2 linked regions of the Arabidopsis thaliana genome follow. The protein of the gene in region 1 interacts with the protein of each later gene in a pairwise test. Each region holds a gene or a part of one and is shown on either strand. Other genes may lie near its edges.

Evidence for each region.
Region 2: the proteins of LSP1 (region 1) and eIFiso4G1 interact in a two-hybrid assay, tested with the Arabidopsis thaliana proteins (one large-scale study listed by BioGRID).

The regions. Positions count from the first base shown.
Region 1 is NC_003076.8:13,823,623-13,828,202, reverse strand, and holds LSP1 (Eukaryotic initiation factor 4E protein), read left to right. Parts: upstream 1-1,799; 5' UTR 1,800-1,871; coding exon 1,872-2,062; intron 2,063-2,222; coding exon 2,223-2,397; intron 2,398-2,495; coding exon 2,496-2,627; coding exon of another isoform or gene 2,628-2,633; exon of another isoform or gene 2,634-3,069; coding exon 3,070-3,135; intron 3,136-3,224; coding exon 3,225-3,257; 3' UTR 3,258-3,362; exon of another isoform or gene 3,363-3,582; intron 3,583-3,609; 3' UTR 3,610-3,779; downstream 3,780-4,580. UniProt on the Arabidopsis thaliana protein: Recognizes and binds the 7-methylguanosine-containing mRNA cap during an early step in the initiation of protein synthesis and facilitates ribosome binding by inducing the unwinding of the mRNAs secondary structures.
Region 2 is NC_003076.8:23,437,860-23,444,526, forward strand, and holds eIFiso4G1 (MIF4G domain-containing protein / MA3 domain-containing protein), read left to right. Parts: upstream 1-1,640; 5' UTR 1,641-1,895; coding exon 1,896-2,069; intron 2,070-2,441; exon of another isoform or gene 2,442-2,547; intron 2,548-2,727; coding exon 2,728-2,799; intron 2,800-2,904; coding exon 2,905-3,012; intron 3,013-3,102; coding exon 3,103-3,312; intron 3,313-3,413; coding exon 3,414-3,511; intron 3,512-3,630; coding exon 3,631-3,718; intron 3,719-3,810; coding exon 3,811-4,161; intron 4,162-4,248; coding exon 4,249-4,491; intron 4,492-4,575; coding exon 4,576-5,574; 3' UTR 5,575-5,956; downstream 5,957-6,667. Other genes in the region: AT5G57860 (Ubiquitin-like superfamily protein), read left to right, coding at 132-134, 415-600, 747-786, 1,170-1,228; MPS1 (multipolar spindle 1), read left to right, coding at 6,118-6,285, 6,492-6,549.

The sequences.
Region 1 (4,580 bases):
CTTATGAGCAAATTAAAGCTATTAAGTTTTTACTTCTTTTTTTTGTTAAAATGATGGTGGTCTTGACACAAGCACTAGCAAATAAAAAATTGCTTTAACTCCACCCTTTTTTGTTGTCAACCATGCTAAACAAACTGATTTGAATTGAGTCTCAAAAAAAAAAATAGAAGGTTTATCACTAAAAGTAACATAGTTTTATTATTATAGAGAAATACACTAAAATAGCATTAAGCTAAGTTTTTGTTCCAAAAAACCATAAATAGTTTTTTTTTCTTTCCAAAATGCCTCTACAAACGATTTAGTACAAAAATACCACAAAGTCTAAAAATGATTTCTAAAGATTTTAAACCTTCAAAACTAAATCCTAAACCCTAAAATTTAAACACAAAATATTAAATGCAGACCCAAAGTTTAAATTATAGGTGAATTTTAGTTTTGTGGGATTTTCAAAAAAAGTATCTTTTACTGGTACTGTTACGAAAAAAACTGATGGTGTTACTTTTGGAACAAAAAACTTATCTTAGTGGTATTTTTGAGAATTGTCTATTATTATATCTTATTATATAAAGTATGGTTTTCGATTTTAGATTTTGACACATGTAATCTTATTATCAATTTTATTAAATGAGTAAAAATATAAATATAAAAACCAAAGTAAAATATTAATATATCTTATATAAAACAATTTTAAAAAATTGAAAGAAGATAAATATTAGAAAATTATATGTATCTTATCAAACAAAGATAGAAAATATAAGATTACATATTATTTTAAAGAAATAAAAATGTAAAGAAGATAATTATATGTATCTTACTGAAAGAAATTATAAATCAATTACTAATTCTAATTTGAAATTACTAATTCTAAAAGAAAATTGATTACCGTCTTCCTAAAAATTTTAAAAAGGATTTAAGGAAACGATCTTATTATATTAAATATAATACATAAAGGAATTTTACAATTAATTATAATCTTAGAAGGAAAAAGATTTCAAATACTCACCTCTATATAATTAGTAGCCGGATTTTATGCGGTAACTGATACAGAATGTACAGTTTTTGCCACTTCTTCTCGTCTTAAGAGAGAACGACGGCGATCAAACAAACGTCGCCGAAGTTTAGGCGGCGAGTGAGAGTATATGAGTTTATCAAGCAGAGATTTGTAAGTTTTCTTGTTTTTGGGGGAAAAAGATTAGGAATTATAATAACTTTATTTTTTTAATTTATATTTGGAACTATAATATAAAAATCTTATTTACATTTTTAAAACTATTTTGTTTCTTTAATTTATCTTATTTTATATTAAAAATTTTAAAATTTATAATAAAATTACATGTACCAAAATCTAAGATCTACAAAAATAACACATGTAACAGTCATATGAATTACTAAATTTAAAAATCATGCTTTATATAATAAAATATCTTTTATTACTCTAGAACCTCTAATGTAAACAATATTTTCTAATTTGATACTACTAATTAAGATTTTGCATTGACAATATGAAAGAAATTCCGCTATTTGGAAATTAGATCTCATACCTTGGTGTATTTTTTTTTATTTTTTTTTTAACAACACCTTGTTGTAAAAAAAAATACTTTAAACCCTTGTCTATTGGGATTCCACTTGCAATTAATTTTGGAGATTTTTATTTTTACTTGTTTTTTAAATACCAAAAGACAATAGAAAAAGAAAAAAGAAGAAAAGAAGAGTTAAATGCTCTGATGGACCGGCCCAAAATTGACCCAATAGAGTCCAGAAATAGCCCTTTTCACTTCTTAAACCATTCCAAAATACATCTCAAAAACAATCTCTCTGTCCCTCTCTCGTAACCAAAAGCCGTCTCAGAAGAAAACTCAACTGCGAAGAATATGGCGACCGATGATGTGAACGAGCCTCTCCCGGCGGCGGCGGAATTACCGGCGACAGAGGCGGAGAAACAACCACACAAGCTCGAAAGAAAGTGGAGTTTCTGGTTCGATAACCAATCAAAGAAAGGCGCCGCCTGGGGAGCTTCTCTTCGTAAAGCCTATACTTTCGACACCGTCGAAGATTTTTGGGGGTTCGTCTTTCTCTCTTCTCCTTTGATTTCAATATTTGTCAATGCCTTGCTTTGTAACTTCTAAATCTGGGATTTGTATAGAAGCTATGGTTATTGTGAATCTCGATCTATGTGTATGGATCCGAAAATCTAAGGATGTTAATTTTTTGGTTATTGTTAGATTGCACGAGACTATATTTCAGACTAGCAAATTGACAGCGAATGCTGAAATTCACTTGTTCAAAGCTGGTGTTGAGCCAAAGTGGGAAGATCCAGAGTGTGCTAATGGAGGAAAGTGGACTTGGGTTGTTACTGCTAATAGGAAGGAAGCTTTAGACAAAGGCTGGCTTGAAACTGTATTACATTCTAACCCTAACCCTAACCTTTTACTCTTCTGTGTTTTGTTAGATGATATGTGGTTTTGGTGACTGGTTCTATTTCTTATGATATGTAGTTGATGGCTTTGATTGGAGAGCAATTTGATGAAGCAGATGAGATTTGTGGTGTGGTTGCTAGTGTCCGTCCACAGTCGAAGCAAGACAAGCTCTCCTTGTGGACTAGGACGAAGTCTAATGAAGCTGTTCTGGTATGATGTTTGTTTGTCTTCTCACTATGTTTATATTGATGCTGGTGTTGGCTATTCATGATTATGATTGTTGGTGGGATATCCAAATTTAGTTTGGTAAACTTTAGAAAATACTAACACTCGTTACGAGAATTCTTAATGCTACACAGAGAACTATATAGCTAGTGGGTTTTGATGCTTAACTTGCTTTGTTGCCTGTCCTTGAGAGTTTTACCAGCTTCTGATGATTGAGATACTTCTGCAATAGTAAAATTGTTGTTTTTAATGTTAAGGTTATATGTTGCGACTTATAAACATAATAGTAAATATAATAGTTCATTGGCATTATAAACATAACTATCTTTGTCAATGGACATCTGTTTTAAAACTTGGCAATATGTTAAGATTGGTTTATGAATCTATCTGATGAATTTATTACTTGGTGTTTGTTATTGTAATTCAGATGGGTATTGGGAAGAAGTGGAAGGAGATACTTGATGTCACCGACAAGATAACTTTCAATAACCATGTAATTACACTTCTCTAAAGAAGAAGCTATCATCTTTTTGTACATGTTTTAGATCTCATGTGGCTTAATATATCTTTGTCTATACGCAGGATGATTCCAGAAGAAGCCGGTTCACTGTCTGAAGAAACGAGTGTGAAGCCAGAGGAAGATGCAATATGGCTTTTTTTGTGATACTGTTTGGTCGGTTTACTCAAATAGCTGAGACATTTAGGGACATTCACTTTGAGGTGTAAACTCTACAAAGTTTTCTGTTTCATTAAAATGATTTTTTGTTATAAATTAAGTTGAGTTATATAAATCTCTTTCGAAACCACCACTTGTTAGACAAATACAGAGATAATATACTCTTATTAGCAACACCCTAATGCTTCTCTTTTGTATTTTGTTGGATCACATAGTGTTAGTACATGTCTATCGCATTTGTAATTATCACTATATGAATTTACAATCTTACAAGATCTTATTTCTTTGTAGGTAAATTTCAAGAATCTGGTAAAAAATTGATTTAGAGCAGGATTCCACGATTTTCCTTTGTATTAATTGTTTTTGTACTGTGATTTTGAACCTTTTTAATTAATACTGTTGCAGTTAAGCAGTAGTTTAGTCTTTTATTAGTTTTATCCTCTTTTTATATAGCCGTGAGATTATGATTTCTTCTTCAGGAAGAGTCTATACCATTTTGAGTTTATCTTAAAGTTGCTTGAACAAGGAGATATGGTCGATTACAAATTGTGGATCTTCCATCTCCGATTCACAGTTTTTGGGTCCTCTAAAATGGTTCAAAAAACCTTATAACAATTCGTTTTGATTATTTAAATATTCACTTACAAGTTGCTTAAATCTATTTTAGGTTTAGGATGGACTCATATTGAAATTATAAATACAAACAATGTGTCAATTGGCTACTGAACTTTTAAAGCTTAGAGATTTTGGATTAAGGAAAAAAATTTGATTAAGATTTTTAGTATATGTTTATAAATTAATACTCGATACTAAATACATTTCTTCAATTCCAAATCGGCTACCCGAACTGATTAATATATTGTATATTTTTTTAATTAATAAACTATCATAGTCTCATTGTTATTAATTATAAAAAGATATAGCCAAATCAGGAAAGAAACCAACATGTTTAGGATTGAACAAACACGAGTCTGAAATTGGGTTTACAGTTCATTTTGTTGTTAACAAAACTATGAGATTGCAATTTACATCAATGAAAAGTTCTTAAACAAGTTTTGGAAAAACAAATTTCAGATTCATATGGTTTAATTAATCATTTTTTTCTCCAAACTGGATATTAGTGTTTTGTCTTATGTTGGAGTCGTACGGTTCTATTATTGCATTGGTAGATATGTAGTCGTTGTTTAATCTGGTAATTTTAATCAACTTCTCCAAGTCTTCAGTTATGTTCGGAAGCAAGGTCCATCCTCAAAAGAAGGCAA
Region 2 (6,667 bases), 9.6 Mb from region 1:
ACTCTTTGAGGTGTGTCAATTGTCACTGATAGTCTGATTAATCTTTTATTGGCATCTTAGAACAGATTTTGATTCTAAAGTCTTGTGAATCGGCAGCGGAAGAAGAGTGAATTGTTCATCCTTATCTTGCCATGGTAAACATTCTACTTCTTTTGTTCACTTTGATGGGTTTGATTGTTCTTAGTATATTCAATCCTTTGCTTATTTGACGGGAAGTAGAGATGTTTTTGGAATGAGAACATCTTTTCCCTTCTTAATTCCAGCTTCCTGATCACATTTATTACTGTTCTTCTTGGAGTAATAAAAGTTGAGATACTTTTGTCTTGCAATAATTTTGCTTTAATCAATCGAACAAGTTAGATTTTGGCCATATTGGTTGTAGTATTGATTAGTCTTGTGTAATATTGTTTGCAGGCTATGTATATTCGTGTGAAGCGCATGAAAACTACTTACTTTATCCAATGTGATCCAACAGAGACTGTTTTGGATGTTAAGCAAAAACTGTTTGCTCTCATTGAGCAACCAGTTAACAATCAGCGTCTGGTCTTAATGTCTACCGAAGAAGTATTAGAGGATTCGAAATCCTTAGCAGATCAGAAGGTATCACACGTTTGACTATCTAATATATTTATCTTTTGAGTCATTGCTCAAGTTTAAAAGAAGAACTTGGTCACATAGCCACTGCCTCCGTTTGCGTGTATTTGAAAGTTATAAGCTTGTCACCATCTTCTTTTTTGGTTGTTCAGGTTGAGAATGATGCAGTTGTGGCTTTGACTTTGAAGAAAGGTTATACCTTAGATCCTCTTATTCTGAAATTTTCAATTCCTTGTTGAAATGTCGTAATGGATCATGCATCTTGGTTAATTACTTATCACACTTCATCTTTCTATATGTTATTTGGTATATGAACCCTTCAAACTCCATTGACTTCAATTGAGCCTGTTATTGTGAATCTTAGTTATTTTGTTATCACTGGATAATCTTTTGGTATGTTTAAGAGTCTTGCCTAACTTTTGTGACCGTGATATAGCTGAATGTGATTCCTAATCTTATTATTCTTTTAGCCTTGTTTCGATTACACAACTGTTGAGGATGCTGTATTGCATTCTGAATCTATACAGCTATGAACGGCATAATGATTGCATTGCATCTCTTTTTTCCATGTGCAGATGATAACGAGTTTGAGGATGTCAACATTGCACAGCCCACCGACTTCTCACTTTCATGAAGAGTTGCTTACTGTATCAAGGAAACTTCAGGAGAAGGTATTGATTCAAAACACAAGGAGGAGTCTATAAACGCCAGAAGTTGTTTCTTTTGCGTCTCTGCTTGTGTTAACGCCTCTTTAGTTTGTTACAGACAATTGTTGTAAGTAAAGATATTGAGATGTGGAAGTTTGATTGCAACTTGCCAGATTAGTAGTTTTTACAGTCTCTTAATATGTTTACAATGAGCTAGAGGTGCAGCTAACACGAGCCGAGGAAGCTCCATTATTACCATTTGACATTGTTCATTGACGGAAAACCCAATGAGGGTGACAAAATAAAGAGACAAAAAAACAAAATGAAAGGACATAACTGTAATCTTAACGGAAAAAAACGTTAAGGCTATAAGTGTGTCTGGTTCGGGAAAAAGAGAGGAAAAAAACCCTAATAAAGAGAAGGGATTGTGTCTCCTTCTCGACTTCTTCTTCTTCTTCTCATTTCTCAATCTCAACTTTTCTCTTCTCTTCTCTTCTTCGCTAACGGCAGGAGAGAGAGAGACCCAGAAATCCGATCCCTCCTCTCCTTGGATTATCGGAGTCAGCGATTCATCGTCGCTGATAAAGCTTCTACCTTTCTCTTCGATTTTTGTTGTGAGATTCGATTCGATCTTAAGGCGGATTAGATCGAGGTATGCAGCAAGGCGATCAAACGGTTCTGAGCTTGAGACCTGGTGGCGGTCGAGGAAACAGACTATTTGGTTCCTCTTCTTCTTCTTCGTCTCTCTCTTTTGGCTCTCTTTCATCTTCGGATCTACCTCTCCTTCGTCCTCATGGTGGTGCTCCTGCTTCCTCTTTTCCCTTCAAGGTACCCTCATTTCTGGGTCCCCTCTCTAAATTTGGATCTAACTCCCTCTTCTTCCTCTGATTTAGAATTTGTTTTATCTCTCTTGTCTTAGCTTGAGCTAAAAATTTATCCTTTTTTACGGGTTTGTCGCAATCAGCAGCCTTTTTGTTTGGAATTATAATCTTTGGTATATTGCTGATTTGATTCTCTCAAATGTCTGAATTGGCTAATATCTTTCTGATTTGCGAGTTTTAATGCTTTGTGTTTGTAATAACTACTGAGCTCATGTTGGATTTTGATAGGTGTCTGCAACATACATAATTGAACTTCATAGGTTTATATGTCAATACGAGTAATGCAAGCAGTTTGTTTGTCCTGATTCTTAGTGGCGCACGCAAGTATGTGTTTCTGCTGTAAATATGGACGTATAATGATATGTAGGCTTTTAGGTGGGCATTTTGTTAGCTGCTATTTGCTCATAAAGGACCTACTGACATTTCTTCTAGTTTTTCTTTAGTTCATCACTCATTTCGGCCTTATGGTTAAAGAATTATTCCTCTCTTTCTTTTGTACTGAGTACTCGTGGTTCCTTGTCTCCTTTATACGTTATTTCTTATATGATTTTGTGTATTGGGTGTTAGTTAATGAAGATTTATCCTGGGTTGTGCTTTTGTTTCAGGGTGGAGACTCGAGGTTCGATGGCCGTGAACGTGTGAAGTACACCCGTGAGCAGCTCCTGGAGCTTAAAGAGGTGATTATCCCAGTTAAATAATATAGGATTAAAGCCGGTTTAGTTTCTGCTGTTCGTATTTGTTCTTCCTTAGTTGAGGTCATTGACGTCTGTGCATATATACAGACCACTCAACTCTCTGATGAAATTCTGAGAGTCCAACGGGAAACTGCAGCTGAACTGTTTGGTGAGGAAGGGACTTGGGCACGTGGAGAAAGTGTCGTAAGCAATTTGGTATAGTTTTGTTGAAACATAAATTTTGCATTTTGGTATAGTTTCATGAAGTTTCACTTTTAACACATATCTTTTATTTTAATGGTTCAGGTTCCCGTTCAATCCGCAAGTCGCTTCTCTGAGCCAGACTCTCGTGATTGGCGTAGCCGTTCTACTCAACCTCCACCCTCTGGGGAGGAAAGGTCGTGGGATAATCTTCGTGAAGCTAAAGATTCCAGGTATGTTGAAGCAAGTCAATATAATCGTCAAGACCAACCTAATTCCCAGTTTTCAAGGGCAAACATATCATCCAACCAAGGGGTAATTGATCAATAGATGAATGTTTTTCCCTCTTCTTAGCCCTTTACATTCTGGCATGATTTCTTATTTTTCTTACTTATTTGTATATCGTGTGGAACCAGGGTGGACCAGCTCCTGTCCTCGTCAAAGCCGAAGTTCCTTGGTCAGCTAGAAGAGGAAACCTTTCTGAAAATGATCGTGTTCTGAAGACTGTGAAAGGGTAATGCCGTTGTGACAGTTATTAGTTGTCTAGACTTTTGTATAACTTTCCTTTACTGCCAACATGAAATCTTTAAAATAGACTATGCACACTTACAAAGATATACTTTTCTTGTCCAGGATACTGAACAAGCTAACCCCTGAAAAGTATGACCTTCTCAAGGGCCAACTTATTGAATCTGGCATCACATCTGCTGATATCCTGAAGGTGTATGCTATGTCTCAAGCATAGATGAAGTCTTGTTTGAATCATCTAGGCTGTTTGTGTGGCTAACCCGTGTTCTTTTCTTTCATTTGTAGGGTGTGATTACCCTTATTTTTGACAAAGCTGTCCTTGAGCCGACCTTTTGCCCTATGTATGCAAAATTGTGCTCTGATATCAACGACCAGCTGCCCACCTTCCCACCTGCAGAGCCTGGGGATAAGGAGATTACATTTAAGAGGGTTCTACTGAATATCTGTCAAGAGGCATTTGAGGGCGCTTCTCAGTTGAGGGAGGAGCTTAGACAGATGAGTGCTCCAGATCAGGAGGCTGAGCGGAATGACAAAGAAAAATTGTTGAAGCTCAAGACTCTAGGAAATATTCGTTTGATTGGTGAGCTTTTGAAGCAGAAGATGGTCCCAGAAAAGATTGTTCATCACATTGTTCAGGTTAACACCTATAAGCTTACACATTTTCTTAGACTTCTTTTATTTTGGTATCTAGCATTAACCTTTCTTAATTTGTTCTGTGCACAGGAGCTTCTGGGGGCCGATGAGAAAGTTTGTCCAGCCGAGGAAAATGTCGAAGCTATTTGTCATTTCTTCAAAACTATTGGCAAACAACTTGACGGAAACGTGAAGTCAAAACGGATTAATGATGTATATTTCAAACGCCTACAGGCTCTGTCAAAGAATCCTCAGTTGGAACTGCGTCTGAGATTCATGGTTCAGAATATCATCGACATGCGCTCCAATGGCTGGGTTCCAAGGCGGGAAGAGGTATTCTAGGTTTTACAAGGTTGAGACTTGTTTCCTGCTCCATTGTGTAGTGATTCTAATGTTCTATTTACATTACTCGTGCAGATGAAAGCAAGAACTATAACCGAAATACATACTGAGGCAGAGAAGAATCTTGGTCTCCGACCAGGTGCCACTGCAAATATGAGAAGGGGTATGGTTTCTAGTGGTGGGCCTGTGAGCCCTGGCCCTGTCTACCCTGGTGGGCGACCTGGTGCGGGTGGCTTGATGCCTGGTATGCCTGGGACGCGAAGGATGCCTGGGATGCCCGGAGTGGACAATGATAACTGGGAGGTACCCCGGACAAGATCAATGTCTAGACGCGATGGGCCAGGACCTCTACATTCTCCAGCAGTGAGCAAGTCGGCCTCAATGAACACGAGGCTCTTACCTCAAGGCAGCAGTGGCATTATGAGTGGCAAGACAAGCGCACTGTTGCAGGGAAGTGGTTCAGTGTCGCGTCCAGTTACCGTGTCAGCAGAACGGCCAGCACAGTCAGTTGCACCTCTGACCGTACCAGTTCCGGTGGAGAAACCACAGCCTAGTGGTCCCAAGTTGAGCGAAGAAGTGCTCCAAAGAAAAACAAAGTCGCTTCTCGAGGAATATTTCAATGTCCGACTACTTGGTGAAGCTCTGCAGTGTGTAGAGGAGCTTGGTTTGCCGTCATATCACCCAGAGTTTGTGAAGGAAGCAATATCCCTGTCTCTTGAGAAAAGCCCGCCTGTCGTTGAGCCAATTGCTACACTCTTGGAGTATTTGTTATCAAAGAAGGTAGTCGCACCCAAGGATCTTGAAACTGGGTTCTTGCTCTACGGTGCTATGTTGGACGACATTGGAATTGATCTTCCTAAGGCACCAAACAATTTTGGTGAGATTGTGGGAAAGCTGATTCTGGCTGGTGGTGTGGATTTCAAATTGGTTAGAGAAATTATAGGGAAGATGGAAGACGATAGGTTCCAGAAGATGGTGGTCGATGCAGCTGTACGCATTGTGGAGTCAAGCGAGCAGGGGAAGTCCTTGTTGGCCTCACAGGCTGCAGACATAGAGGCTTGTCGGAATCTGTAAAAGGAATCATTACTTGACGATTTTGCTCTCTCTGGGTCTTATGCTTGTGCGATGAATGTTGTGTTGTAAGCTTGAAGGAGGAGGAGAAAAGGATTCTCAGAACTCAAAAATAGTTTTGCTCTTCGTTGAAGCTTTTTCTTATGACATTATTCTCACCACTCTTCTTTGTGGGCATGAGTCCATGTCCTTTTTTGTATTCTTCTGTGACTTGTCTTTTTTTGACCTTTGCATTTTTGTTTTACGGTCTCAGTTATTATATTCAGTTGATTGTTGTTGAGACTTGAGACCCCTATAAACTGGTCGGTTCAGATAATTACATTGGAAATGTTTGATCATCGTCTTCCTATTATTCCTATCTGATTCTGAGCTAACATTAGTTGAGTAAATGATTCATTCGACCTTAAGCTTTATCAAGTTTGATCAATGGGCCTGAGTGGGCTTTGTAAAGCGTCACAAAAACTCTCCCGCGCAGGACAGAGAATCATTAGTTATTATCCTGAAAACTAAAATACTTTTTTTTTTTTTTTTCAATTTTAAACAAAAATGAGTTCAAGCGTAGCTGAAGCAAATCACACAGAGAAGGAAGAGTCGCTGAGACTGGCAATCGCTGTTTCTCTGCTACGATCTAAGTTTCAGAATCATCAATCTTCTTCTTCTACTTCCCGTTGTTATGTTTCTTCTGAATCTGATGCACTTCGCTGGAAGCAGAAGGTGAAACTTCTCGATTTTTTTTTATTTTTTTTTGCATTTGGTTTTAATGGCCTTCTCGTTGCGAACTATCTGATATATATATCTGGTGAAATCTACGAATTCTAGGCTACATTTCGATTTCTGTTCTTCGTTTAGAAATCTAGGTCAGCTCTAATTGTTGCGAGACGGAGGTTCTAACATAGTGAGATTTTCGATTTTGAAATTAGGCTAAAGAGAGGAAGAAAGAGATTATCAGACTCCAGGAAGATCTCAAGGATGCTGAAAGTATTTTTTTCTGCCTCTCTTAACTTTTGCAAAAATTCGTTTCTGTATTTATTGATTCTTAAAATGGAAAGGCTGCAAGATGTTTCTAGAACTGATTGGTCTTTCTATTAATGCATTT